Notamacropus eugenii: one gene and its partners. The protein of the gene in region 3 interacts with the protein of the main gene of each other region in a pairwise test. Links are inferred from orthologs where the notes say so. Each region holds a gene or a part of one and is shown on either strand. Other genes may lie near its edges.

Evidence for each region.
Region 1: the proteins of KLC3 (region 3) and CEP57L1 interact in binary tests that used the Homo sapiens proteins (3 or more experiments, as listed by UniProt). The two-hybrid records come from large-scale screens. The link is inferred for Notamacropus eugenii from reciprocal best matches to the Homo sapiens genes KLC3 and CEP57L1.
Region 2: the proteins of KLC3 (region 3) and TSNAX interact in binary tests that used the Homo sapiens proteins (3 or more experiments, as listed by UniProt). The two-hybrid records come from large-scale screens. The link is inferred for Notamacropus eugenii from reciprocal best matches to the Homo sapiens genes KLC3 and TSNAX.
Region 4: the proteins of KLC3 (region 3) and BICDL2 interact in binary tests that used the Homo sapiens proteins (3 or more experiments, as listed by UniProt). The two-hybrid records come from large-scale screens. The link is inferred for Notamacropus eugenii from reciprocal best matches to the Homo sapiens genes KLC3 and BICDL2.

What each region holds. Positions count from the first base shown.
Region 1 is NC_092873.1:188,929,141-188,937,299, reverse strand, and holds the start of CEP57L1 (centrosomal protein CEP57L1), read right to left. Parts: upstream 3,496-8,159; 5' UTR 3,300-3,495; coding exon 3,282-3,299; intron 1-3,281. UniProt on the Homo sapiens protein: Centrosomal protein which may be required for microtubule attachment to centrosomes.
Region 2 is NC_092873.1:389,855,964-389,863,539, reverse strand, and holds the start of TSNAX (translin-associated protein X), read right to left. Parts: upstream 3,261-7,576; 5' UTR 3,177-3,260; intron 1-3,176.
Region 3 is NC_092876.1:27,702,486-27,710,069, reverse strand, and holds the start of KLC3 (kinesin light chain 3), read right to left. Parts: upstream 3,217-7,584; coding exon 2,781-3,216; intron 1-2,780. UniProt on the Homo sapiens protein: Kinesin is a microtubule-associated force-producing protein that may play a role in organelle transport. Plays a role during spermiogenesis in the development of the sperm tail midpiece and in the normal function of spermatozoa.
Region 4 is NC_092872.1:56,607,103-56,614,643, forward strand, and holds the start of BICDL2 (BICD family-like cargo adapter 2), read right to left. Parts: upstream 3,304-7,541; 5' UTR 2,411-3,303; coding exon 2,326-2,410; intron 1,659-2,325; coding exon 1,348-1,658; intron 1-1,347. Other genes in the region: THOC6 (THO complex subunit 6), read left to right, coding at 3,848-4,333.

The DNA of each region.
Region 1 (8,159 bases), on a different chromosome or scaffold from region 3:
GCTGCCAATATGAGAATGAGTACTGCAGAATTAATTATGCTTTTAGCAAACTCAAAAAAACCAAAAGTTACAACCATGGTCTCAGACAAATCTTGGTAAAAATATAGTTAACAAGCAAAAAAGGTAATCACATTATTCTTAAAGAAGCCAGAGTCAATGAAATTATATCATCATTTTATATAAATATACCGAAGACCACAGCACCTAAGTGCTCAAAAAAGACATTAGAGACCTAAATAGAATTTTTGAACATAATTACTGTTTTATAGCATTGTTTCTATAGGAAAATGTGTTTTAAAATTCAAACAACTTCAAAAGAAATCTCGAAACTCATTTTTAGTTTGAAAACTGTCTTCATACTTTTAGATGCATGTCCATTCTGGTGAGCCAAATACACTCTTAATGAACTGACACAATTCCCTTGCTCTCTTAACTAATTCTTACTAAAAAGAGAAAAGTACTAAATTCTTGTGCTCTAGGGAAAAGTAGCAGTCAGAACACCTCATTTATAGCTCTGCCATTTGGTCAGGTTCAGTTATTTTTTTCTGATTTCATATTATCATCATGTCATTTCTACTTCCCACATAGAACATAGATCAGATATTAAAGATACCAATGTAGTCATTACATTGTCCTAGGCAATAAGTAGCTATGGGCATACTGGCAGATCTGTTCCATCTTATATCTATTTGTTGTTTTCCTTCCAATTCACACCAAGCTCTCCATAGGCATATTTTCTACTCCAATGCCTTTTGCTGTTTTGTGAGGCAGTATTGGGGTAAGAGGAAAGGAATAAGCATTTACATGGGACCTACTATGTGCCAAACACTGAGCTAAGCACTTTTTACAAATGTTATCTCATTTTATCCAAGACAATTCTGAAGGACTTATGATGAAAAAAATGCTATCCACCTTCAGAGAAAAAACTGAAGGAGTCTGAATGCAGACTGAAGCATACTTTCTAAAATCTTATTTTTCTTGGTTTTTTTTTCTGGTTTGTGTTTCTTTTGTAACATGGTTAATTTAGAAATATGTTTTGCATGACGTTCTCAAGGCAGGAAGCAAAGGGAGGGAGAGGGGGAATTTGGAACTCAAAATTTAAAAAAAGTAATGTTAAAAAATTTACATGTAATTGAGAAAAATACATAAAATATTATCTCATTTTACCCTCAAAACAACTCTAAGAGGTAGGTGGTATTATTACTTCCATTTTACAGTTGAGGAAACTGAAAGAATCAGAGGTTAAGTGACCTGCCCAGGGTCATACAACTAAGGCCACATTTGAACTCCAGGCCCAGAATTCTATCCACTGTATCACCAGCTGCCTCAAAATTACTTCCAATCTTCCATTTCTTCTTCCATAATATTGTACAAATAAGCTTGTATTCTAAATCATTGTTGCCCTAGGTTTCCATGTCTCTCCTCTTGGCAAGAAGCATCAGTAAGGCATCTTTTAGGCTCTTTTGGTCTTCTTATTGTAGCAATTGTTTCTTCAACTTCTCCAAGAAATAATGATCAACAGAGTTGGTGCCTTTATCAATTTTGCATTTTTTTCAGAGCTAACACTTGGTTGTAATAGCCTAGGTTATAATTCTATTCACTATCTTTTTAACTTTGTTCTTCTAGTTTGGTTTCAATTTTAACCTCTATTCTAACCAGTGATCTTACTACGTACTGACAGATGGATAAGAAATGACCCCAAAATAAATCATTATTTCCCAACTGCTAATATTTTCATTTGTTACATTTTTTTGGTTCTGGCACACTGAATTACATATCATATTTGTGACATAACAAGAATAAAACTTATTAGTGACTTTTTGATCTTTTTCATTTTTTGATACTGAACCAGTTTCCAATGTTTCACATTTTTTACCAGCTTCCATTGTGTCCACTTTCTCAATGAAGTCACCACATATATGCTACCTTACTTTAGAGGGGGGGTTGGACAGTTCTTGATGTAATTTTTCTACTTCTTCATCCTTTAAAGCACATCAAAGAATGCTTGTTGTCTCATGAGTAGGTCTGAATTCCAACTTCAGTGTATATACCAAATCTCTCCTAAAAGCTGTGCAAGCCAGATGCAGAAATTGTTGGAATTTCCCAGCATATCCTTGCTAGATGAGATGCAACCAAGAGTGAACAATTCAGTTTTATTATTTACAAGACTTTTTTCCTACCTATTTCGTTACTTCCTGGCAGTGGTCTAAGACTATACTTGCTGCACACACCTCATTCCCCATAGTCAACAAATTAAGACTCTAGATTTTGAAAAGGGACCTTCAGCTCCCTGTATTAACTAGGACTAGGCTTCCAATACTAGTATCACTGAAGCAATAAATCAAACTCACTAGATTTCCAAGCAGCCCAGTTAAGACCTCAGAGTGGAAAAGGGACATTACATCACATCAGATCCTACCCTTTAGTAGAGATCCATGGCATTCCCAACAAGTGATCCTTTTGATCCAACATTTCCTTGAAGACCTTATGTGATAAGAAAATTATTTCCTAAGGGAGTCCATTCTGTTTTTAGGATAATTCTAACCATCAGGTAATTCTTTATGCTCAGCTAAAATCTCCTTTCCAATAACTTTTATCTCTTAGTTCCAATTCTGCCTGCTGTAATCAAATAAAATCACCCTAAATCCCCTTTTGACATAACCACCCTTCAAACCGTTGAAGATAGAGATCATGTTCCCTGCTAAATAACCCCACCTTCCAAATGAATCTGAAATGATGAGAATTTGAGTCTCTTCACCATATTGGCCACCCTTATCTCAATGAGCTTTAGCCGTAAATAACCTTCCTACAATAAAAAATCCTGAAAGGAATATAATATGGCATAGGTGGTCTGATCTTGGCAGTGTAGATATGGCTCATGTTTCCCTTGTTCTGGACACAATGCTTCTATTAACAGAGACTTACACTATTTAGGTTTCCATGTCACACTATTGTCTTAGATTGGATATATACGTTCACTTAAATTTCCATGTCTTTTTCACATGAAAATACCATGCAGTTTTCTTCAACTTTGTGTTTATATATTTGATTTTCTTTTAACTTAAGTAGAGAACTTTATATTTATCCATATAAAATTGTGGGTTGTGAGATCAAATGAGATAATATACAAAAAGCACTTTGCAAACTTTAAAGTGATGTATAAATTTTAGTTATTACTAGATTTGATTTACTTAGACCCAATCATATCATTCCAGGTACTAAAACAATTGCTGACATTTCCATAGCACTTAAAAGTTTATAAATAATTTATAATGCATTACCTCATCGGATCCCCACATCTACGTCAAGACTGATGATGGTCCATTAAGTCTTCTTTGGGCTAGATATTTCAATAAATTCAGGCTCTATGCATCATTCAGCCTATATGTCCACAATCTGTTCACAAGGATTTTGTAGGATAACTTGTTACATGTTTTGATGAAATTCATGTATAGTAATGTTTATTATACATTCCTGATCTACTTGTGTAATATATGTTGTCTTTTGATGATTACTACTTTATTTTTCTTTTTTTTTTTTAATTTAACTTTTAACATTTATTTTCACACAATTTTGGGTTACAAATTTTCTCCCCTTTTATCCCCTCCCCCCTCAAACCCAAGCTTTCTAATTGCCCCTGTGACCTATCTGCTCTCTCCTCTATCCTCCCTACCTGCCCTTGTCTCCGTCTTCTCTTTTGTCCTGTAGGGCCAGATAGCTTTCTTGACCCCTTAACCTGTATTTCTTGTTACCCAGTGGTAAGAACATTACATTTGGTCCTAACACTTTGACTTCCAACTTCTTTAGCTCCCTCCCTCTCCACCCCTTCCCCTTGGAAGACAAGCAATTCAATATAGGCCAAATCTGTTTAGTTTTGCAAATGATTTCCATACTAGTTGTGTTGTATAGGACTAACTATATTTCCCTCCATCCTATCCTGTCCCCCATTACTTCTATTTTCTTATGGTCCTTTCCCTCCCCATGAGTGTCGACCTCGGATTGCATTCTCCTCCCCATGCCCTCCCCTCCATCCTCCCCCCCACCCTGCTTGTGCCCCTGTCCCCCACTCTCCTGTATTATGAGATAGGTTTTCCTATCAAAATGAGTGTGCATTATATTCTTTCCTTTAGTGGAATGTGATGAGAGTAGACCTCATGTTTTTCTCTTGCCTCCCCTCTTTATCCCACCACTAATAAGTCTTTTGCTTGCCTCTTTTATGAGAGATAATTTGCCCCATATAACTTCTCCCTTTCTCCTCCCAATATTTCTCTCTCACTGCTTGATTTCATTTTTTTTTTAAGATATGATCCCATCCTCTTCAATTCACTCTGTGCATTCTGTCTCTATGTATGTGTGCATGTGTGCATGTGTGTGTGTGTGTACTCCCACCCAATACCCAGATACTGAAATGTTTCAAGAGTTACAAATATTGTCTTTCCATGTAGGAATGTAAACAGTTCAACTTTAGTAAGTCCCTTATGACTTCTCTTTGCTGTTCACCTTTTCATGGTTCTCTTCATGCTTGTGTTAGAAAGTCAAATTTTCTTTCCAGCTCTGGTCTTTTCATCAGGAAAATTTGAAAGTCCTCTATTTCATTGAAAGACCATTTTTTCTCCTGAAGTATTATAGTCACTTTTGCTGGGTAGGTGATTCTTGGCTTCAGTCCTAGTCCCTTTGACTTCTGGAATATCCTATTCCATTCCCTTCTATCCCTCAATGTAGAGGGTGCCAGATCTTGTGCTATCCTGATTGTATTTCCACAATACTTGAATTGTTTCTTTCTAGCTGCTTGAAATATTTTCTCTTTCACCTGGGAATTCTGTAATTTGGCCACAATGCTCCTAGGAGTTTCTCTTTTTGGATCTCTTTCATGCGGTGTTCTGCGGATTCCTTGAATATTTATTTTGCCTTCTGGTTCTAGAATCTCAGGGCAGTTTTCCTTGATAATTTCATGGAAGATGATATCTAGGCTCTTCTTTTGATCATGGTTTTCAGGTAGTCCCAGAATTTTTACATTGTCTCTCTTGATTCTATTTTCCAGGTCAGTTGTTTTTCCAATAAGATATTTCACATTATCTTCCATTTTTCGAATCTGCATGCTATGTTCTGAGATATCTGTCTTTCTCATAAAGTCCTTAGCGTCCATCTGTACCATTCCAGTTTTGAAAGATCTATTTTCTTCAGTGAGCTTTTGAATCTCCTTTTCCATTTGGTTTATTCTGCTTTTGAAAGCATTCTTCTCTTCATTGGCCCCTTGCACCTCCCTTGCCAACTGAGTTAGGCTAGTTCTCAAGGTGCCAATTTCTTCATGATTTTTTTGGTTCTCCTTTAGGAGGGAGCTGATCTGCTTTTCATGCTTCTCCCTCATCCCTCTCATTTCCCTTCCCAGTCTTTCCTCCACCTCTCTAACTTGATTTTCAAAATTCCTCTTGAGCTCTTCCATGGCCCGAGCCCATTGGGTGGGCTGGGACACAGAATCCTCGATTTCTGTGTCTTTGCCTGATGGCAAGCATTGTTCCTCCCCATCAGCAAGGAAGGGAGGAAGTGTCTTTTCTCCGAGAAAGTACCCTTCAATCGTTTTGTTTCTTTTCCCTTTTTTGGGCATTCTCCCCAACCAGTGACCTGACCTCTGAATGTTCTCCTCACACCCACCTCGCCTCCTGGTCCTCCCAGCCAGCGTTTGGGGACTGAGATTCAAATGCTGCTTCCTGCCTTAGGGTTTTTGGCGGGGGCAGGGCTGCTATTCAGTGTGAGAATTAAGTTCAGGTGGTCAGGGGCAGGGCCGCCTCTCTGGCTCAGTTCCCTCAGGGGGTTTATGCACAGACCTTCCACAATGGATCCAGGCTCCCGCCCGTTTGGGGAGCCCCTGTCTGTAGCTGCCTCTCAGCTTCTATCTCCTGGGGGAACCCGAGCCATGGGGGCACCCCACTCCCCTCTCAACCCGCCAAAGAGACTCTCTTACCTACCCCCGTCAGTCACCTGTTGGTGGGGGGGCTTGTGCCGCCGCTGGAGATCCCGTCTCTGGAGCCTTCTCAGATCTGTGCCTCTCGGAGCCGCAGACGCCACAGGTCCGGGCTGGACTCTGTGTCTGCAGTGCGACGGACCTTTTGCGAGAGAGGTTTGCAGGTCCCTCTGTGGGTGGGGGGACCCGTGTGGCCGCTGGAGATCCCGTCCCTGTAGCCCTCTCGGATCTTTTCCTCACGGTGTCGTGGTCGTGGTAGGGCTGCCCTCTGCTTCCCGTCCCAGCGCCCAGTCCACGGCGCGAAGGACCCCCTGCGAGAGGTTTGCAGGTCTCTCTGGAACAGAAATCTCCCTCGCTCCAATATTCCGTGGTCTCTGGGTGCAGAATTCGCCCTGGGTTGGTCCCCTCTAGCCGTTCTGTGGTTTGTGGGTTCGGAGCTATGTGTATGTGCGTCTTTCTACTTCGCCATCTTGGCTCCGCCCCCTTCTACTTTATTTTTCAAAGTGTCACAAGACTTAAGTTTAATAATCTAGAATTTTACTAAGGATTAATGTCAAGTTGTCCAACTTAAATGTGCAATCTACCGTCTTCCTCGTTTTTCAAAATGGAGACATTTGCCCTATTTGCAGTTTTGTGGCATAGCTTCTCTTCTCCACCATTCCTTTTAGGTCACCAGTTTATCACAAATTAGCTCTTGATTCTTTGATTCTTTCAAATGAACTCTTTTCAGTTACAAAAGAATTATTCCAATTGGCTACTACCCCACCACCAACCCGCAGCTGCATAAAGAACTTACAACATCTGTAAGTTTAATTGCTCTTATTCTAAAGTATAAGCTAGAATTAGCATCTCCTTATATGAAATGCACACTCCCACAATTTTTCATAGTCTACCCACTAGATGTGTCTGATATTTTACTGGTATAGTCAAGAGAAAGGTCCAGAAGGACATCTGAAGGAACTTGCCTTTACAGAGGGAGAAAATAAGGGCTTTCTACATCCTAAACCAGTCCACAATATTCATTCATTTTTCTGTAAAGTTCATTAGTTTCATACATACAAGAATTTCTTCTAGTTACCTCTTAACTGGAACATTATCACAATCAAGACTTGAGGGGAGAAATAAGAAGCAGAAACACCATTCAGATGAAGAGAATAAGCATTATCATCAGTGCATTATCACTACTAACATAATGATTTCCAAAACATTAGAAAGGAGTTCTCTCTTAGAGGAAATCTCAATCATTTTTTACTAAACTATTAAATAAAAATCAAATTAATTTAACTCTCAATCTGCTAAAATGTCAGACAAGGATATGTATATATGTGTATGTGTGTGTGTGTGTATGTGTATAAAAAAGTTAACATATGGAAGAATAGGGTAGAAAATGACTCTTTAGAAATGTTTACACCAACAGATGATTTTATAATTAAAAATAATCTTCCCAAAGATTTAATTGTAAGAGTTACAACTGCTCATCCGAAGTGCCTAGAGACATAGTTTCAGAAATATCTCCCTCCAAATTTTGATTCTAAAAAACAAAGTTGGGTTCATAAACCATATTCAATTGAAATCAAAACATCAGTCATCTGCCATTAAAAGTTCAAGAAGAATTTGCCAAGTTATTAAGTGATACAAGTTTAAAAATTGGGTTTCCTTAAAAAAAAAAATTAAATGAATTTTGACTCGGGATTAAGGCAGAATTTCCAGCAATTTCTGAAATGTCCCTAAACATACTTCTGCCACTTGGTACTACATATTTAGGTGTAAATCTCAGCATAGACAATTATAAAGTCAAAATATCAATCAACTCTGAAAAAATGTTGAAGATACTCTACATCCGACATTATCAAATATTCCACCAAGATTTAATTCTTTATGTAAAAATAAGCACATCATTTCATTAGCATACAAATCTGCTTTCATCTTTAATAAATGATTAAATTACACGTATACCAAAGAAATATTTTAAAATATTTTGCCCTTAAATTATAGAACAAGGAGGCAAAGTAGAAATAGAAAAAAAATCTACTGATCACCTCCTGAAAGAAATCTCAGGAGGAAAACTTACAAGGATATCATAGCCCAGTTTCAAAGTTTCCAGATTAAGGAGAAAATATTGCAAGCAACAAGTAAAAAATAATTTAAATATGATGGAGCTACAATAAGGATTACATAAGATCTAGCAGCTACTATA
Region 2 (7,576 bases), on a different chromosome or scaffold from region 3:
TGTATGCCATTCCATTGGTCATAGCAGTCGGAATACTCCTTACTTCCCATTGCCACTCAAAGTTCAGTGGTTTTCTGTCATGTTAGACTCTTTATGACCCTATTTGGGGCTTTCGTGGAAGAGATATTGGAGTGGTTTGCCATTTCCTTCTCCAATTTCAGACTTCTTTCAGTAACCTTTGCTAAGCAATCTCTTCTCCTTTCAGGATCATGACATTAAAATGTATAATCAAATCCAGCTCCTAGAGGCTATTTTCTGTTGATTTCTAGGACATTCTTCTTTTACCCTCAATGAATTCAGTGTTGGATTCATAGTTTTTCTCTTCTCTTCTTGCTTTCATATATATTGATGCCGTTCAATTTGTTCAGTTGTTATAACATATTCCTCTGCTATAGCTAAGCTGCACACAAAGATGGTCACATCCTTGATCTTGCCCTCACACACAAGTGTTCCACACCCATGTTCATGAAATCTGAAATTCTTTTATCTGATATTTCCCTCTTCCTCACAACCCCTAACCTTCATCCTCACCATGAGAGCTGTTTCTTATTTTCCCAGGCCATCACCTCATACTGTCTATATACTCTTCTCCCTTCCTTATCTTAAACCCTCATGAATTAACTCAACTCTATATTACTCTTCACCCTACATTCCTCCCCCACTTGTCCTAACACTGATCATGTTTATCCAAGCATAAGCATATAGTCCTCCATCTTGCCACCTTCCTTCCTGTTCATACGCTGCTGCACAGAGCTAGAGGACATGAAACCCTGCTGACTGAACTCACTAAAAATTTGTTTTCTGAACTTAACTGGACCCTGTTGCAACAAAGCAAGCATTCTATTCCTCCACATGTATGAGTGGAGAGAGGGAAACATATATGTTTCCCACTCTCCATAATAGCTGATCTAAATCTTTTTGTCTCTTCTCAACCTCCTACTTCACACCTTTCACCTCCCAGCAAAGCCCCTCATATTTTACAGAAAAATTGGAGACAATTCTCAGGTTCCTCCTCACTTCTTTCCTCTTCCTCATCTCATATTACTTGAATATCTTTCTCTGTTATCTTTTTCTTTACTCCAATCTCAGATAAAGAGGTGGCCTTTCTCCTTGCCAAGGCAAGGCCCTCTACATGTCCTCTTGATACAATCTCCTAATAGCTTCTCCAACAAATTTCTCTCATTATTATCACCATTCTCTCTCCTATCTTCAATCTTACCCTATCTACTTACTGGCTCTTTCCCTGCTGCCTACAAATATGCTTATGTCTCCCCAATCCTTTAAACCTTACTTCATCAGATTAGCCTTCCTAGTTATAATCTTATATCTTTCTTTTTTTGGCTAACATTTGGAGCCTCTACTTACTCCTCTCTCACTCTCTTCTAAACCTTGTGCAATCTGACTTCCAAACTTATCTTACAACTGAAACTGCTTTCTCCAAAGTTACCAATGATTTTGTGACTATGAAATCTAATCCCCTTTTCTCTATCCCAACCCTTTTTGAAATTTCTGAAACATTTGATGCTGTTGACCACCTTGCTCTTCTAGGGGCTCTCTGCTTTTTCTTAATGTTTATTTATTTATTTCTAGTTTTCAACATTCATTTCCACAAAATTTTGAGTTCCAAATTTTCTCCCTATGTCTCCCTTCCCCCACCCCAAAACTCTGTCCATTCTGATTACCCCTTCCCCCAATTTGCCCTCCCTTCTATCACACCCCACCCTTCCCTTATCTTCATCTTCTCTCTTTTTTTGTAGGGCAAGATAGATTTTTATACCCCATTACCTGTATTTCTTATTTCCCAGTTGCATGCAAAAACAATTCTCAATATTCATTCCTAAAACTTTGAGTTCCAACTTCTCTTCCTTCCTCCCTCCCCACCCATCCCTATTGAGAAGGCAAGTAATTCAATATAGGCTATAGATGTGTAGTTTTGCAAAAGACTTCCATAGTAGTCATGTTGTGTAAAACTAACTTTATTTCCCTCCAGCCTATCCTGCCCCCCATTTAATCTGTTCTCTCTTTTGACCTTGTCCCTCCCCAAAAGTGTTTACTTCTAATTGCTCCCTCCTCCCATTTGCCCTCCCTTCTATCATCCCGCCACACTGCTTATCCCCTTTCCCCCTACTTTCCTGTACTGTAAGACAGATTTTCATACCAAATTGAGTGAGCATGTTATTCCTTCCTTAAACCAAATGCGATGAGAGTAAGCTTCACTTTTTTCTTCTCACCTCCTCCCTTTCCTCCTCCATTGAAAAAGCTTTTTCTAGTCTCTTTTATGAGAGATAATTTGCCCCATTCCATTTATCCCTTTCTCCTCCCAATATAGTCCTCTCTCATCTCTTAATTTTATTTTTTTAGGTATCATCCCTTCTTATTCAACTCACCCTGTGCTCTGTGTGTGTGTGTAATCCCTCCAACTACCCAAATACTGAGAAAAGTTTCAAGAGTTACAAATATTATCTTTCCATGTAGGAATGTAAACAGTTCAACTTTAGAAAGTAGGGGCTCTCTTCTTTCTGGGTTTTCAGGGCATTGCTGTCTCCTGGTTCTATTCCTACCTATTCAACCACTTCTTAGAATCTTTTTCTTCATTTATGTTATGCTTACAAACTCTGAAGGTAACTCTGAAGGCTCTGTCCTGAGCCCCCTTCTTTTTTTTTCCTCAATATTCTCTCACTTTGTGATCTCATCAGCTCCCATGGGTTCAGTTATCATCTCTAAGTAAATGACTCCCAGGTTATATGACTTCCCGTCCTAGTCTCTCTGTTGAGTTATATTCATATATTTCCAACTGCCTCTTGACTTCTGGAACTGGTATCCCACAGGCATGTCAAATGCCACATGTCTAAAACAAAACTCATTAATTTTCCCCTAAAGCTTTCCCTTCTTCCCAATTTCCCTATTATTATCAAGAGCACCACCATCCTTCCAGTGCCCCAGGTTCAAAACCTCAGTATCATATTGGACTCCTCACTCTCCCTCACCTGACCTATGGAATCCATAGCTAAATCTTATCATTTCTACCTTAACCTTTTTCATATGTTTCCTTCTCTCCACTCATACAGTCACATTGGTAAAGGCTCTCGTCACCTCTTACCTGGACTACTATGATAGCCTTCTAATTCATCTCCCTGCCTCGAGTCTCCCTCTACTTCAATCCATCATCTACTCACCTTCCAAGGTGATTTTCCAAAAGTATAGATCAGATCATTTCACCTTCCCCCTACACATATCCCTCTGCTCAAAGAGCTCCAATGACTCCCTGCTACCTCCAGGGTCAAATATAATGCCCTCTTTTTGGTATTGAAAGCTTTTTATGGCCCAGCCTCTTCTTTCATTTTCAGCCCAGCAAGCACTGAATGATCCAGTTCTACTAGCTTACTTGTTATGCCTTGAACAGAACACTCTGTCTTCAGTCTCTGTGCCTTTACATTGGCTGTCTCCCAAGTCTCAAAGGCTTTGCCTCTTATCTCTGCCTCTTATCTTCTCTGACTTCCTTTAAGACTTAAGGATTCTTTTTAAGATGTACCTTCTTTAGGAAGCCTACACCTGCTAATTCCTTTCCTTTTCAGACTATCTTCATCTACTCTGTATATATCCTGTATATCCCTAGTTATTGATATGTTATCTTCCTCATTAGAATGTGAGCCTCTTGAGGATAGGAACGATTTTTTTGTTTTTCTTTATATCCCCAGTGAATAGCACAGTTCATGTCACATTGTTGTTGTTTGTCCTTTATTTTCAAAGAGGATCAATAACATCTTGGAGTGATATCTTGATGTTTGTGTGAATTAGATTGAAGTGAGGCGGAGTTGTACAAAGTCACATAGTAAAGGCATAATAAATACCTATTGGCTGACTTGCAGAGTAGTTGTGAGTTGGATCCCACCAAGTCTTAATCACTCCTATGAAATCATAGTTACCTCCATATATTAATTCCCCAGCTCATTTTTGTTTTACCTATATTCTAGGCAACAATAAATTGATACCTGAACCCACGTGAACCCATATCTGCCCCTCTTCTGCATTATCAGCCCCTGTGAATTACTGAAATCCACTGTTGGTATTATCTCTCTGTCATTCCAGCTGTTCTCTGTAGCATCTGAGTTAGTAGTTGTATTTGAGTACTTTTCTCCTTCCTTTTCTCTTTAAAATTCAATGCCTTCTTAATCATATTGGCTAGTCTCCAAGCAAATACATTTTTCGTAGTTCTCTTTAGGTATACTCCATCCCTGGCAACAGCCCATCATTACTGGAGTTTGTGCCAAGATCCAGAATTCTAAATCCTATACTCTGACCTCATTGCTTTAGACAGCCTCAGACAGCTGTTCACTTCATTGCCCTTTTCTTCAGTTGGCAGCAAAAATGAATACATCATTTCAGTGCATGCCTAAATTATTCAGTTTACATCCCAGTGGCTCATAATCTTTAGCAATTATTTCCAGGTTGTTTCTAGAAATATCATTTATTTACATGTGAATCACCAGAAGTAGATACTGATGCTCAGCTCTGACAAGCCTTAGAAGACTTTCTATCACCTCCTATGCCACCTTCTGAATGAACAAGTTGAGGAAAGACAATGTGTGTGTTGATTGCTCCCATCAGGTCAAAACACGGACACCTTCAGATGGCTCAGTAGAGACACTTTTAGTTTTCCTCATTCCTTCTCCTTAGTTCTTGGTGGCATCCTAGGTCCACTTTATTCTTCATGGAACATGAAAAACTTCTTCAAGAGATCTAAATCTATATCTTCTGTCAGATATTTTTATATTTTTAGAACCAAGAAGGACCTTAGATTTTGTTTAGTGCCAGGGGTTCTTAACCTAGAGTCTGTGGCTTTGATTTTCAAAATTATTTTTATAAATATATTTCAATATAATTGGTTTGTAAACTTACGTATTTTATTTCATTCATTTAAAAATATAATTCTGTCAGACTTCATCAGATGTTGAAGGGATCTAGAATACAAATTTAAGAATCCCTGGCCTAATCCAATCCTCCCATCTTGCTCCTTTAGGGAAAGCATACAACCTTTTGGATCGTCATGATCCTTTAGCCCTGGGCTTCTTAACCTATTTTGTGCCATGGGTCCCTTAGGCAGTCTGGTGAAGCATATGGAATTCAGATATTCAGAATTCAGATCTCAGAGTAATATTTTTAAATGTTTTAAAAATAAGATACATAGAATTATAAAGAAAATAAGTTATATTAAAATTCAATTATCAAAATATGGATTAAAAAGAAAGTTCATGGAACAGAGGTTAAGAACGTTGGTTTTAAAGTTACAGCTAGGTGGTACAGGAGATAGATATCTTGATCTGGACTTAGGAAGACCTGCATTCAAATTCAGCCTCAGACATTTATTAACTGTGAGACCCTAGGCAAGTCACTTAACCTTAGTTCCTTAACTGTCAAATGGTAATAATAATAGCATTCAAGATTGTTGTGAGGATCAAATGCAATAATATTTGTAATGTACTTAATAAAGTGCCTCACACATAGTAGGCATTTAATAAATGTTTATTTCCTTCCTTCAGCCTAATGCCCCCACTTCGAGGCAAATCTGCTTACATATTGCAATAATTGTACCAACTCCTTCCAGATAGAAGATAGAAAGAGATGAGCTCTTAAAATTCTTTCTCACTTTGTAATTTACTAATTTGGTAAATTCTAGGTACTTCTCCTTTTCGTTCTGCTATATTAGACTTATGGCTCCTTTAGAGCAGGGTCTATAGCTATTTTTTTCTCTTTGTTTCCTCAGAGCCTAGAACAAAACCTTACATGTAGTAGGTCCTTAAACATGTTTATTGAATTGAATTGCTTACCTTTTCTGCATCTTTCCATAATGGTAAAATAAGAGGTGTTTCACAGCTGTTAGTTAATTGTTCAAATAAGTTATTTGTTTAAAAGTATAATAAACCTTTAATGACTAATTCAAGCATCAAATATCAATTTTCAGTTAACCTAATTAAAAAAAAGAAAAGGTAAAACTTGGTAGGATACTATATCTAGAGGGCAAGACCCAGATCACAGTTGGTTCTAAATCCAGATGCTTCTGAACAATTCTTTCACATCCATTCACAACCCCATAGCTTGGTGACATTGAGTGCAAAAGGGCAGTTGTATGAAAAGACACAAAGGAATACAGCAAGAAGAAGCTGAGAGTCTTGGCACTGAGTTTGTGACACTATCAGTCTCCCTTAAAATAAACTGACTAGGGGCCAAATTAAAAAAAAAAAATGAAGCAAATTGCATACAGTGATTCAGTCATTCTACTCCAGTAATATCTCTGTGTCCACAAAATTACTTATTTTAAATCATTGCATAACTCGGGCATGGGGGTGAAGCCAAGATGGTAGCGTAGAAGGATGGACCTGCTCTAACTCTACCCCCATAGCCCATAAAATACCTGTAAAAAGTGATTCTAAACAAATTCTAGAGCAGCAGAAGCCACAAAACAACAGAGTGAAAGAGATGTCTAACCCAAGACAGCCTGGAAGACCAACAGGAAAGGTCTATCACACTGAGCTCCAAGCGGAGTGCAGTCCAGCCATGGCCACCTGGACAGGACTGGAGCAAGCTTCAGGGCATGGAATCATGGGTAGCAGCTGCGGTTTCCAGATTTCTCAACTGACAAAAGCCAAACAGCTTCAAATGTAAGAAAAAACTCTTTCTCCAGGGTAAGCCTTGGCCCCAAGGCAGCAGCAGCCACTGCAGCAGCAGAGTCCACTTTTGAAGCCCTCAGTCTAAAGACCTTGGGGGAATTGAGCTACTGATCTGAATCTTAGCCCTGAGTGGCAGTCCTGGGATGAGGAGGAGCACTGGCATGGTGGAGCTGGTGGAGCCTCTGGAGAGGGAATCCTACTCACAGATCTTAGGCAGAAAAGACAAGAGTGCAGGCCAGGAGAGGAGTAAACTCCTCTCCCTTGATTGTGCCACCTTGGGGGAACTGAGAACTTACAGATCCCTAGAGTATACTCTCCACTTGACAAAGGACTCAAAAGTCAAGTAACTGGCTAGGAAAATGCCCAAAAAGGGGGAGGGGTGAAAGACTACAGAATGTTACTTTCTTGGTGAAAAGGTATGTTCTCCATCCTCTCACATGATGAGGAACAAAGCATGCCATCAGAGGAAGACATAAAAGTCAAGGCTTCCACATCCAAAACCTCCAAAAAAAAATATGCAATGGTCTCAGGTCATGGAAGAGCTCAAAAAAGATTTTGAAAATCAAGTAAGATAAGTGGAGGAAAAATTGGAAAAAGAAATGAGAGTGATGCAAGAAAACCATGAAAAATGAGTCAACACCTTGCTAAAGGAGACCCAGGAAATGCTGAATAAAATAATACCTTTAAAAATAGAGTAACCCAAATGGCAAAAGAGGACCAAAAAGCCAATGAGGAGAAGAATGCTTTAAAAAGCAGAATTAGCCAAATGGAAAAGGAGGTTCAAAAGCTCACTGAAGAAAATAATTCTTTAAAAATTAGAATGGAACAGATGGAAGCTTTATGAGAAACCAAGAAATTACAAAACAAAACCAAAAGAATGAAAAAATAGAAAACAATGTGAAATATCT
Region 3 (7,584 bases):
GGTGAGAGGTGGGGTCTGTGTTGCACGACCTAGAGTTAGTCTCAGTCTCAATTTTAATCAATCTCTCTCTCTCTCTCTCTCTCTTTCTCTCTGTCTATATATATATATATAAAATATATCATATCTTTATCTCTATATCTATCCATATATATATATACATATATACATACACATACATATATACATGCTCAGATCATTGAACAGAGAATATCACAGTGGGGAGAGAATATAGAACAAAAGAAACTCCCTGGTATAATCACTGAGCTTGGAGTCAGAAAAACCTAGGTTTAAATGCTTCCTCAGGCAACTTGCTAGCTGTAAGACTCTGGATTGGTCACTTTATTATTCTCGACTTCCATCTCCCCTCTCTGAAATGGGGATGCTTAGAGTACCTGTCTTCCAAGGATTCAGTGAGACAGAGCATGTAAAGTGTTTAAAGCAATATATATAAATGCCAGCTTTTGTTAACAAAGAATAAAAACATGATAAACTTCAGAGCTGGAACAGATTGGAGACTGTAACTCCACTTCTACAGAGGAGAGAGGCTGGGAGAGGGAAGTGATATGTCCAAAGTAACACACTGGGTTCACGGGACTAGCCCCCCAGATCATTTTGTACCTTTCTATTGCCAGGGCTCAACACAGTTTCCTTGTATACAAGAGGTGCTGTATAAATGCTTGTTTTTCCTTTCTTTCCCCTCCTAGGGTGCTTAATAGATGCTTGGTGAATGGAAATGACTCCTGACCAGTTCTGCATTGTTGCAGAGGGTTGCTTGGGTGTGTGTGTGCTGGGGTGGGGTGGGGGTGTGTGTCTGGTGAAGCTTCTTCCCCATGACCTCATCCCTGCCGCCTTCTTGTGCTGGGAACCAGTCTGACAGCTGCCTCGGCAAGGGTGGGGAAGACCAGAGCAGAGAGATCAGTGGTGCCTGGTGGGAGTGTGAGAGAAACTTGAAGAAACCTACTTCATCACTTAGAGGTCATCCCTGTGGTCTAGGGAAAGGAGGACAAGCATGCCCCGCCATGGGGACAGCTGGCTTTATGTCTCTTCCCCAGTCACTCCCCAGCCAGGATGTGGGTGGACACCATCCAGCTTCTTAGACAGGCCAAGCAGGATGGCTTTGGGCATGTAGAGACAGACACAGATGTCCATATCAGGCGTGGCCCCTATGTGTTGGATGGGTACGCAGGTGGTCGGCCACCTCACCAAGGGTGACCCCTACTGTAGCTGAGTTCATATGCATCCCAGATCATAGAGTAGATCTGGGTTCTAGGGCCAGTCCTAACTAACTCACCAAATAACCCTGTGCAAGGCCCTTCTTCATGGTCCTCAGTGTCCTTATCTGTAAAATTAGAGGGTTGAACTTGGCTGGTCTCTAGATTGCCATAGTCTGACATCTTTGGAAAGGGCCAAAGAATATAGGATGCCATTGCTAAAAGAGACCTTAAAGCACAGAATGCCAGACCAAGGAGGGCCCTTAGAAAAAACAGATTCAGAACTTGGAGGGACCTTAAAAAGTGGAGTAAGAACAAGAGACCTTAGGAGAACCAAGTGAACTTCCAAACTGGAAGGGACCACAAACAGATGATGTCTGAGTTTTGCCCTTGGAGACAGTTTTCTTCCCCAGAAGAAAATCTCACAGGGTTACACACTGCCTCCATACCTTACACACACCTTTCCAACATGGACCCGGCCTGCCTGCACTGCCTTCTGGATTCCACATAGCTTGGTATACACTCTTCCACCCTCATCTGGCTATGTATGGCTCTGCTCCTAGAACCCTGACTCCCACACACCACTTTGCAGAATTTAGGGTTTCGGGACTGCGATAGACTTTCAGTCATGCATCAACATCCTCCCCCAGTCCTACCCCTGGCTTTTTTTTTTTTTCATTAGATAAGAGAAACCTAGAGAAGGGATTGGACAGGCAACCAGGTCAGTGCTGCCCGGTCAGGATGGGCACCAAGTTCTGTGGACTCCCCGGTCAGACCCACGTTGTTGTTTGTCACCTAGACCATCCCTCCTCTGAGCCGACCCACAATCACAGCTCCACACACAGAGAGGTTCATGGTCCCCAGTTCGCATCCCCCCAACACCCACCAGTCGCTAGGTCAACTCACTCGGAGGCCCCAGTCCTACCACACCGGCAAGCACTGGCCCCGCCCCACCCCGCCCTGGCTCCTGTTTACCTGTGCGGAGGGGGAGGGACGGCAAGTGTATGCATGTGGGGGGATCTGAGTTTGGAATCCTGGGGGGGAGGGGGCGGGACTAGGGGAGCCAGGGACACCCTTGTGGTGAAAGTAGCAGGATTGAGGAGGAAGGAGATGAACGGAGAGTGGGATGGATGGTGTATGGTTACGGTGGGGGTGATGGAGGGAGGAGGATGGAGGAAGAGAAAGAGGGGGATAAAGGGAAGAAAAGGGAAGGGTAATGTAGGGAGGGGAACAGAGGAAGGAAAAGAGGGGGAAGGGGCAATAGAGGGAAGGGACAGAAAGATAGAAAAAGGGAGGAGGTACAGAGGGAAGGAAAGAGGGGTTATGGAGGGAAGGGAATGGAAGGAGGCAAAGAGGGTGGAGGGAGCCCTGGAGGGAGGGGGACAGAGGGAGGCAGGGAGGTGGAGGGGGCCCTGGAGAGAGTATTGGGGATGCAAGGGGATGGAGGGGGCCCTGGAGGGACTACTGGAGGAGGCAGGAGGGTGGAAGGGACCTTGGAGGGAGGCTAGGGGTGTGGGGAGCCGGAGCCGGGAGTGCCCTGGGCCCCCATCCGCTGGGCCGCTTCGCTACCTGTCTGCACTCCGTTCTCCCCGGAGCTCCCGCTCCCGCTCCAGCTCCAGTCCGTGCTGTCGCTCTCACTGTCGCTGTCCCTGTCGCTGTCGCTGTCGCTAGGGCTCGCTCCGCAGCTGCCGCCTCCCCAGCCTTCTCCTGGGAGCCTGCTGGAGGGCTCCGAGGAGGCTCCGGGGGAGGCGGGGCCGAAGCCAGGATTAGGGAGGGGAGGGGCCGCCCTGCTCCCTGCAGGTGAGGTTCTACCCGTGGTGCTCTGTGGGCGCAGTTGGGGGTGGGGAGCCCTGAATGGGGGAGCCGTGACGTCAGAGACGCTTCTAAAGCACTTTCTTCCGAGTCGCGGAGCTGCGGCCGGCGCTTGGGTCTGGGTCGTCCGCTTGGGGCAGTCCGAATGCGGCAGGCCGGGAGACAGCTCACTCCCCATGTGGACAGATCTCATTGTTGAACAATAAAGTTTAAAAAAGGCTTTGCTGACGTCTGGATACAGCTGCCCCATGAGCAGCCAAAAGGCAGGCAGACTAGGCTCGATGTCCCAAGCTTCCCACCAGGGAGAGCCGTCCCCTAGGGGAGTGGGCAGCCCCTACTTCGAGGGGATCTCCAAGCCGAAATTGGAGGACTGCTGCTCGAGGATATCATTCAAGGGTTCCTACTGGATGGAAGCTGAACTGGCTGCTCGCCGAAATCTCTTCCATCTCTTAACCTTTGTGATTCTGTGAACTCCCACCGCCCCCTGCCCCCTGTTCCGCCCCCATGGGCTAATCTCTTGGCCATAGGACAATCCTTTAGATTCTTGGGGAAAGCTACCAGGTAACTCCCTGAGTCTCCTCTTCCCCAGTTCCTCCGACCCCTCCTTATATGACATGAACTCAAGATCCTCGACCGTTCTCGTTGCCCTCCTCTTGATGTTGTTCAATCGTGTTCGATTCTCCGTGACTTCATCTTCGGTTTTCTTGAAAGAGATACTGCAGTTTCTTTCTTCAACTCCTTTGACAGGTGAGGAAACTAAGGCAAACAGGGTGAAGTGACTTGCCCAAGGTCACACAGCTAGTAAGTGTCTGAGGCTGGATTTGAACTCAGGAAGATGAGTCTTCCTGATTCCAAGCCTGGAACTCTACGCATTGTACCACTCAACTGTCCCTCTCTTCTGGATACTCTCCATCTAATCAACACCCTTCCTAAAATGTGTACCCAGAACCGAACACAATATTCCAGGTGTGGATATGATCAGGGCCTGACTACAGTCACCTCCCTAATTCTATACAATTATTAAAAATTTACTTTTGAAAATTTCATTGGTGAAGGGACCTCCTAGTCCTGTAATTGCTTCTCTGCTAGTAAATATGAATTAGCAGCAGCTCCACAATTTCTAATTCTGGAGAGTCATCTAGGACACTAGACTTGCACAGGGTCACAGTCCATATATATCAAAGGCAAGACTTGAAACCAGGTCTTCCTGCCTGGGGTTGGCTCTCCAAGAAATGAAGCTTCCTCAATAGCTCATGAATGGAAAGTCCAGGGTATACTATGCTTATCTGAAAGGAACCTAAGACTGCATTAACTTTTCTTGCTGCTAGTCCACATTGTTTAGAGGTCTTACAAACCACTAAGACACTCCCCCCCACTTCTTTTTCAGAACTGATATCTAGACACACTTCTCCCATCTTGTGCTTGAAAAGTTGATTTTTTTAAAGCCCAAGTGTTGACTTTTATTTTTTAATCCCTATAGAATTTTCCTTCACAATATCCCTACTCCTTAGAACTTTAGAGTTATAGATTCCTAACTGAATTCATCAAATGATAATTTTTAAGCACCTGCTCTGTGAAAAATGCCAGGAATGTCGGCTGTTGGGGCTATAAAGATAATAATAAAAAGTAATTCTTGCCTTCAAAGAGCTCACATTCTACTGGAGGATGCAATAACAGCAAAAAATAAAAATAAGAAGGTTAATAACAATATTTACATAGTTTCTTATATACATTATCTCATTTGAGTCTCGTAGCAACTCTGCAAGGTAAGCAAATAAAAGAAGAATTAATACTGACCCTCTCCTACTGTTTTTGTTTTTGTTTTTCTTTTTATGGTCATAGAAGCTGAGTTAAGAGAGTGTGACTTTTTCATAGTGACGTAGTTGGTAAATGTCAGAGGCAGGATATGAACTCAGATCTTCCTGACTCCAAGTTCAGTACTATATTCACTAGACTATTCTAGCCTATCTCCCTGGAAACAGATAACTAAATACATGATCAGCTGAAAAGGGGAGAAAATACCAACAAATAGGAATATCAGGAAAGGTTTTGAGCAGAGGATGGCAACTGAACTATATGGTGAGGAGGGAGTACATTTCAGGCAATCAGAATGACCTATGCAAAGATATGGAGGCGGGAAATGGAATGGCTAGAATTTGACTAGAAATCTAAACTTGTGAAGGGAAGTAAAATGAAATGTCTGAAAAGGTAGGTGGAAGCAGACTGCAAAGGACTTTAAAGGCCTGAGGAAATTGTATTTTATATTATATTTTATAATTATATTTTATATTAGAAGGGATAGAAAATCTTGAGAAGGGAAGTGTTATTGTTGGGATTCTGTTGTAGTAGATCAGTTTGGCATCTATGTGGAGCATAATTGCAAAGAAGAGAGACTACAAGCAAGGAAGCCAAGAAAGCTATTTTGTTGGAATCCATGAAAGGAGATTAGAACTCAAGCCTGAGTAGTGGTCATGGGCCTGAAGAGAAAGGGATAAATGTGAGAGATGTTTTAAGAGAGAAAAAGATGTCAAGAGAAACTAATTAATCAATAGATCAATTAATCAATTGACATTTATTAAGTTCCTACTATGTGCCAGGCACTGTGTTAAATACTGGTGATACAAAAAAAGGCAAAAGATAGTCCTTGCCCTCAAGGAGCTTAGAATATTGATTAAATATAGGGGGATGAGGGAAAAGGAAGGCGTCAAAGATGACTCCAAGGTTTTGATGTTTTTCTTAAATTATTTCCTGCATGAGGGTATTCAAGAATGTTTGATTTTTCATGTTCTTCTGGGAGAATTTTCATCCTTAAACAATCCCTATGCAGCTTATCTTCAAAGTCAGCCACTTGGGCTTGTATAGGGTTCATGTGTTCTTGTAACATTATTGCCTTTTGCTTCTTTTCTGTGGAATTTCTGTCCACTTAATGTATTTATTTGCATTCCAAATTCTTGTTCTTTATCATGTATTCAATTTTTCTTACTCTATTTGTGTTTTTTAATTCTGCATTGGGAGCTTTGAATTCTGTCCTAATTTCATTCATAATTTCCGCTTTTAAAAGTTGTATTTTTCTTCTGAACCATTCTGGAGTTTCTTGCTATCATCTCATGATTTCTGGAAGAGCCTCTCTTTCATTAGGTAACACTCGTCCATTTATCATCATATTATAATATTTGTTCCAAGAGTTTTGGTTTCTTTTTTGAGGTTTACTCCTTCCTTCTATAAATATTATGTTCTCTTGTAGTTTATCTGTTTGGGGGCTGGAATTTTTTTCAGTCTTTCTCAGTTACTCTTGGGTATTTCAATTGTCCTCTTTTCCACCTACCTTCAGGAATCTAAATCACTTTACTTCTCACCCTTGCACAGATAGACCTCCCAAGGTAGCCCCAGTAGCACCTTGAGTTGGGAGATGTGGGAGTCAGCAGGGCCTTGAGAGAAATCTAGGAGAAGACTGGTCCTGAGTGGGTTTCTGTTTCTCTTAAATCAATATTCCCCTCCAGTCTGTGACACTGATCCTCATGGTTTGATTTCTACCTTCATAGTGTTTTATGTTCCATCAAGCCTTCTCCTTTAAGTGGCTGGGTAGAATTAGTGTCTGCTACTTCTTGTGGGGCCAGTGGGATTTGGGTAAGATTACTGCTCTGTGAGGTTCCTGAATCACAAGTCCTTGGTTGTACCTACTTTGATAGGTGCCTGGAGTTAGATGTGATTAAGGACAGGATGACTCATCCTGATGAATATTTGGTGGCTGGATTCAGATAGCTCTGGAGGAAAGTGAGGCTGCTGACCTGCACAGCCCTCCTTCACTCAAAACAAAGTCAAGTGCAAGTCATGTCATTATTTCTCTGGTGGCATGGTCTTCTTCAGCAACGAAGGATGAACACACAAGGATAGGAAATGAAAACTCTCTGTTAACATTTTCTGTTAATGACATTTTTACCTTACTTATGGAGGTTCTGTCTTCTTATCTTTAGGACAGAAATTAAAGCTCCTGATGCAGAACTAAATCTTCTTAAATACTAAGCTGTATTTACTCATTTCTTGGGCAGAGTTTCTTTCTTCTGAGGTTCTCAGGTTGGAAAAGTTTGTAGATTGCAACTCTCTGGTCATCTTGCTGGTCTCACTGAGATTTTGAACCTGGGTGACAGGAAAGTTGGTGGTGCTTTCCCCATAGAAATAAGGGTTTTGAGGAGTGATTTTGAGGTGGAATTAATTCATTGGGGGGGGGGGATATTCTGAATTTGATATATAGGTAGGGATGTCCAGAAGAAGGTTGGTCATGTGAGAGTGATGTCCAGGGGGAAGATAAAATCTGAATGTAGTCATTGGGAGTCATCTTCATTAGGAATTTCCAATCATTTTTTAGTCTCCAGACCCCTTGGCTTTCAGTCAATCCTGTATACTCTGATTCAATATGAAAGGAAATAAATTCTGGAGCTTATCATACATATATGTATGTATATGTAACATATACAGATATGTTTTTTAAAAGTATTCATTGATTTGTTTCATAAAAGCAGCCATACTCTCCCCACCTGGAGGCTTATAGCAATTATTTTCC
Region 4 (7,541 bases), on a different chromosome or scaffold from region 3:
CCCTCAGACTTGATCAGTTCCCACCACACCAGGCTAGTAATCTTGCTTCTTACTTTTTTTTTTAACATATATTTTTAAAGTTTGGAGTTCCAAATTCTTTCTATCCTTCTCCTATCCAAGATGGCAAGCAATCTTGTTTCTTGAAACCTAGGCTCCTTACCACCCCTTCCCTTTCACCCCTCAAATTAGAGGGCAACACAGGGCTAAGCTCACATCTAGTCTAACTAAACAAATTCTGTCTAGGCAGAGCTCAGGTATGAGTTGTGGAGAAATGATCCCTATGGGATTTATATTGTCTAAAATCTTAGAATTAGATGCAGGAGTGTACTGTTAAGTATTTAACAACTGGCTCTCTGGGGGAAAATTAATATGTATGCACCACACACTTTTCAGCTTACCTTGAATTATTAACATTTTCACCATCACAAATCTAGACAATCAATAAAATAAACTAAGCCCTGATGAGTAGCTTTTGTAAATATCCAAGGTATAAATGCTTACAATGAAAATTTAACAGTCAGGTCCTAGGAGCAGACTTTATAGCACACCTCTGCCTAGAAGGGACCTTAAGGACCATATGTGTGGTTCTGTCATGCCTCCCTCATTTTCTAGATGCAGACAAAAGGAGAACAGTCACGCAGCCAGTTAGGGCCAGAGCTGCTTCTTAGAATCTGTTCAATGTTCTACTACACCATTCTGGTTTTGGAGGGGTTAGGGGGCAGGGACAATTGGTAAATAAGCATTTATGGAGTGACTCCTATGAGCCAGGCACTAGGCTAAATGCTGGTGATACAGAGAAAGGTAAAAAACACAGTCCCTGAAATCAAGGAACTTACAATCTAAAAAGAAAAACAGCATACCAGCGATTACATGCAAACAAGATGCACGCAGGAGAAACTGGAAATGCTCAACAGAGGGAAGGCGCAGTGGAAGGACTTAGGAGGGACTGCGGAAAGGTTCCTGTAGAAGGTGAGATTTTAATTGGGACTTGGAGGAAGCCAGGAGGCAGAAATTAAGGGCATTCCAGATGGCCAATCTAGAGGTAGAAAGGGAGGTATGTGTGTGTCTGTGGAGGAGTGAGAAACTTACCACATATTGGAGAGAGTTTAGAATTATGGAATACTGAAGTTTATAGCAAGGAGTGATCTTAGAAAACATTAGTCCAATCCCTTTCTCCATTTTACAGATGGGTGACCGGATCTTCAGTGAAGGACAGTGACTACCAGGGTCATATGAGGCAGGGCCAGGCCTAGGGGCAAGTCATCTGCTTCCTAGCAAAGGATCCCTACGTACCTGGATGGGCTCTTTGCTGGGGCGGGGGGAGGGATGGGCATCAATCATACTTACTTCCTCCCGTTCAGCATGTTGAGCCTTGAGAACTTCCAAGCTTCTGCTTAGCTCCTCATTCCGTTCTAAAAGCATCTTGCCCAGCTCAGCTGCCAGTAGTAAGTCCTTCTCCTTTCGCTGAAGCAGCACAGCCAGGTCCTCAGGCTCATCCTCTGGCTTTTCATCCCCAGGCCCTGGCCCCCCCAAGAAGGAATCTCGCCTCTCCAGCACAAAGGGGAAGAAGCCATCATCCCCACTTGGGGAGGTACTTCCTGAGAGCAGCCCCGAAGGGAACTGGGGACTACTGGGGGAGTTCATGCTTCCCCAAGCATCTACAGGGAGGAAGGGAGAGGCCAGCTAGAGAAAGAGGCTAATGAGAGCTCTCCCAGCCTCTAGGTGACTACCTCAGAACCTAGGTATCCTGGTCCCCAGATTACTGTCCTACTTAAGACATGGGCATGCTCATCCCCAATTTCCTCCACTCCCAGTAATGTCTAGCTCAACTCTAGAACCAGTGTCCTAGCTCCCAGTTTTCAACTCTTCCCTCTCCTTGGTCCCAGACATCCTGGTCCCCAACTCTTTCCATTCAGGCATTCTGGCTTCTCAGCTCCTGACCCACCTGCTTCCTGATTCCTAGCATTCCTTCCCTCACTCCTTTCTCTGAACCCTCAAGTTATCCCAAGGTCAAACCCCAGAACCACCCTCAACATAGTGGAAACTTTCCATCCCAGACTTCCTTCCTTTCTAATTCTGTAGTCAAATAATCCTTGTGCTATAAAAGGTTAATGATATGTATGTTTGCCTAGTTCCCGTTACTGACCCAAAGGGTAACTGAGGCATGGAGGGAACCAAATAACATCTATCACTGTGAAAGCTTCCTAGTGCCCAAGCATTGAGTCAATCCCAGTTTTTAGGATCTTCCTTCTGTGGACTTAACTGTCCTCATTGTTCCAGCCCTGCTTTGTTTGAGGCTGCATACGTCCCCCAGCCCTCTCTTACCTCTTGGACCTACATGTCCTGATCCCTTCAGCTCTGCTTGATCCCAAGATTCAAGTACTCTGTTCCACACACTCCCCAAGCCCATTCTCTCCCAGGAACAAGCATTCTGCTCTCTAGCCCTCTTCTAGGACCCAGATATCCTAGCCACCTTAGACTGCTTTCCCATTCCAGCATTCAATTGTCTTCACCCCTAGTTTTCCTTCCCTTTTCTATCTCCCAGGATCTAGGCATCTGGACTCCTAGACCTGTTTTCTCCCTTTACTTAACTCCTAAGCAGGCTAACTGGTTGTGTTGGGCTATGGCTCTCGGTTTCTGTTTACTTCCTGGGCCCCACCCCTGGAGACCATATCTTGAACCTGTTCTTGGCTTCCAGTTCCCAGATCCTACCTCCCCCACCTTTCACCTTCTTCCCTTATTCTTTATGCCCTTGCTCCCAGTTTCCCCTTTGGTAAGGAATAGAGGGGATAGGAAGGGATAGCACCCTCTATGAGACCCCTTCCCTCCTTCCCTCCCAAGATATATCTCTTGACCTCTCCTCTTCCTTAATCTTGGACCTGTCAGCCCAGTTTATTCTGCCTTTCCTACCTCTCAGGTCCTAGAACCATAAACCCTGCTTCCAAAGTGCTCACCCTGCCCCAGAGTTCCCCAGAAAAGATATTGTGGTCTCAGTCCCTGCTCCTGCTACCACTGACCAGGTTCTCCTGAAGCATCCTTTCCAGCAGGCTCCCCTACCCTCCGAGAACATGGGAGTCTAAGCCTTCAGGATCAATCTTCTCCCCCGAATTCAAGGCTCCTTGCCCTTGTTCTCTGACTTTCCCAGACCTTGAAACCTTGGCTGTTAGGCTTAGTCTGCCTTCTGGAACCAGGATACCTGGCCCTTTCAGTCTCTTTCTCCCAGAGCTAATTCTCTTCCATTAACACAGGTGTCTGGGTTCCTAGCCTCAGCCTCCCTCTACAGACATGACCCATGTAGTCAGTTCCATAGTCCCATCCATAGTCCCACCTGTATCGCTGGGAGGGTGGGGGGTGAGGCCCCCTATTGGACCTGGCTTCCCATTCTCAGATCTCTCTCGGTCTCTCTCCTGGCCTCCGTCACTTCTCTTCCGGGGGGTGGGGCCAGGTATACTGGAACACAGGTGAGAGGGGTGGTGGCCTTGGGAGGAGCTGGGTGGCCCTCTTGTGGTTCAGTTCAATGCAAACATCTTCAGACTTAAAGTCAGTCCCACAGACCCCAAAGCGTCTGGACATAACCATGGTCTCAGGCTGTGGGGAGGCTTTGGCAGACAATTCCCATTTAATCATTAATGCCCCTACGTGCTCAGCCCGAAGCAAGTCAGAAGCGCATCCCTGCTCTTGGGGGAGAAGGTGCTCATCTTCTTTCAAATAATTAAATATCAATAGAGTTCAATGATTAGGTACCAAGTGACCATAAAAATGATTTCCAAAGTCTATCTACTTTGAGTAGTCTCTGCAGATAATTCCCAGATTTAAGCCTCTAACCCTCATCTTTCCCTAAATACAGACCTATATGTTTACTGGATGTCTACACCTGGAATTCACATTACTGAAGTCCTTGCTTGAGCTGAACTGCCAAGTATTCAAACTATGCTTCAGAGAGCACAACTCCGATGGGCTGGCCTCATTGTTCGAATGCAAAATGTACACTTGCCAAAAAGACTATTTTATGGAGAACTCACATGGGGCAGGCGATCACATGGTGGTCATAAGAAGTGATACAAGGACACTCTCAAGGTTTCTCTCAAGATCTTTGGATTTGACTGTGCAACATGGGAGACACTGGCACAGGACTGCTCAGCATGGTGTGCCCACATCAGAAAGGGTGCTGTGCTCTATGAGCAAAGGAGAATTGAGACAGCACAAAGTAAAATGTAGGATGCGCAAATTTGGAGTATCCAACCCAAAAATTCACATGGACTATCTGTGCCCAACCTGTGGTAGAGCATTCCAAGCTCATATTGGTCTGATCAGCCACAGTTGGACACACTAAAATTTTACTTTGTTGTGGTGATGTCATTTTGGTCCTCTTTGAGAATGAAGGAAAACAACCAACCTCCTAGAATTCACATCAACACTATCTCCAAAACTGACCTGATCATCTTAACCCCTGACCCCAAACCTGTCCTTCCCCCTGATTCTTCTGTTTCTATCCTATGATATCACCATCCTCCTAGTCATCCAAGCCTCAAACCTCAGAATCATCTTTTACTCTTTGTTTTTTGCTCCACTCCTTTTCGTCTTCCCCCGCCCCACAGAAAATCTCAAATTCAATCAATGTAGTTACAGTTGAAAGAACACAGATTCTGGAGTCAGAGGACCTGAGTTCAAACCCTACCTCAGTGATCTCGGACAAGTCACAACTTAACTGAACCTCGATTTCCTTGTCTATAAAACAAGGTAGTTGTACTGGGTATCTCTGGAAGTTACTTCCAGTTCATCTATGATCCTTACACAATAATGCTTATTCCATCATCTTAGGTCAACTCCTCATCACCAGTCTACTGGACCACACTGATAGCCTTCTAATTGTTCTCTCTGCCTTCCTTATGCATAGATCTTAACAGACCACTCCCCTGCTCAAATACTTCAAGATAGTTCCCCAAATAAATTCCAAACTCTTCTGTCCTGGCATTCAGGGCTATTCAGAGTCTAGCTCCAATCTCCCTTTCCAGCCTCATTTCAGGCTACCTCTGGGAGCCCAGATCTGTCAAAGCAGAAGGCTCTCCCAACCTGAGCACCATCATTCATTTTCAGCCACTCTAAACCTAACCCCACCCCCACTCCCTTCCTAGAAGTCCTTTTATTTCCTCTTCTTGGCCAGTTCCAATTCTGTAGTCATTCCTGGCCTTGCTCAAGTACTAATCTCTTCTAGAAACACCTTCAGGACCCTCACACAGATGTCTTTTTCTTCTGAGCCCCCATGGCCCTTACCCTCCTTTCTCTCTCTCTTCCTGTCTCTCTACCCTCTTTTTCCCTCTCTTCTCTTCTCTCCTATTTTTCTCTTTCTCTTTTTGTCTCTGTCTCCATTTTGCCTTTTCTAGCTTCTATTTTGGCATCTTAGAATCTTCTCACCATCAAGAGAAGACATTTTCAAATCAAACCATTTAAATGTGAGGTGTGTTTTGTACCTAGGAAATCAGCCAAACAAACAAAATTGACCAAACCCCATATTGCCGGAGTTGTGAGGGGGAAAAGCACCTCAGAATTACATTATTCCCTTTGTCTAGGAAGCAGCCTTTTTTGTTGGGGAAAGGAGACTGGTTCTGATTTAACACAGCCACTGAGTCAGAGTGTAACCAGCCTTGGGCAGATCACTTCTTTTCTGAGTGTGCTTCCTACTGGGTCAAATGGTGGGTTGGATTAGATTATATCTAAGTCACCTTTCAGCTCTGATATTTTAAAGGCATCTTCCATTCTAGGATTAATTATCCCTAATTAATTCATGGAAATAGGGCAGGGATTATTATAGAGGAGTTCATTGAGAACTTTTAGAGGGGAAGTGATTTGGCCACAGACACATTGTGACAGAGATAGACCCCAACCCAGGTCACCCATTCCATCTCCAACACTCTGCCCAATGCAGTGAACTGCCTTAGTAAATATACTTTGGAAGATTAACAGGAAGTCATACTCTAGAGCTTTGAAACATGGCAAATATGGTCAGTTTGTGAGTCCCTGACCCCTGACCTATGTATGCAATCATTTTCAGTGGGAAAAAAGCTCAACCCCAGTGTCTGTACTAATGAATGGAAAGCTTTTTAAATTCCTTTTTCTATTTAAGGATCAGAGTATTTACTTTATTAAGGAGCTGAGGTCTAATGAATGGAGAAGCACAGGCAGCAAGTGTAGACTGTCTTCAGAATTTTGTCAGTAAAAGAGAAGAGAGAATGGGAAGGATGGTAGCTGGGGAATAGGGCTGTCTCATCCTCCCTGCACTTTCCTCTTTCACTTCTTTCAACTTCTTCTCTGACTAACCTCATTCCCATTAGTGGTCATGGTTTGGCCCTTCCTCCCACCTCCTTCCCAGAAACACTCAGCTTGTCAATATTGATCTGGAATAGCCAACTGGCAGGAGAGCTGGGGCCCCATTTATTGAGGAGGGCTTAGGGAACCGTGATGCCTGGCTTCCTGGAGGAAACTGGGAGTTGGTGGCCCTATTCAACACTGGCTACCTGAGAGAGAGGGATGGTGCAAAGGACAAAATGTCTCCTCTTCTCTTTCTCTCTTCCCCTTTCTTCTTCTCCATTCCTGTCCCATTTCATTTTCCCCCTCTCCTCTCTGTTTTTGTAAAGCAGAACTAAGCCCTGGAATGGAGATTCCCACTGAAAGTTTCCCTTGAGGAAGGGAAACTAAGAGGACTCAAGAAATCTGGGTCATCAGGGATAGGGAGAGGTTGGTGGGAGAGAGAGGGGTGTACCTATTGGGGGACCCAGGCCAGAGAAGAGATTGAAGGCAGAGATATCCCCAGAAGGATGAGCAGAGCCATACCCAGAGTTGTCACGGAGGTAAATAGCTCTCAGAAAAAAACCTTACTACTTCTCTGTAACAGGACTGGGCTTCGTACTGGTTGGAGGACAGTAGCAGCCTAGTATCTGGTTAGCCTAGCAACTCTGGTTTAGCCATCAGAAAATATATTTGCAGTCCAGCCTATGCAGCTACTGGATGAGTACGATCAGCCCTGAGCAAGTCACTTTCTCTTTCTGGGCCTCAGTTTTCATCTCTGCAAAAATGAGGATAAGCTTTGTCCTGCCTACCTGCCTCATAGGACTGTTATGAGACAAAAGCTGCAAGACTCCTATGGTTTATATGTGGTAGGTTCTAATAGTGAATGAGACAGTTATCCAGATGGGCAGATTCAATTAAAGATGAGTTATTAGTCCTGTCTCTGCCACTACTTCTGTTTCTGTTTTCTTCTGTAAAATAGGGAAATGAGCCATGGATCAGATGATTTTTTTTAAAAGGCCACCTACCTCTCAAAATTCCTTAAGTGGGGCTGCATGTGTTTCTGTGCACATGAGGTCCTGTGGTGGGTGCTGAGAGGCAGCCAGAACCCACTGCAACTTGGCCTCTTTCTAAAGCAAGCTCACAGCCAGGTTGGGGGAAAGGGGTTGGGACATATACCTGTGGAATTATGCCACCCCTGTCCCAACCTCCATTGGTACAGGTCTCTTCCCTGTACCTTGGGACAAGGGTTGCAG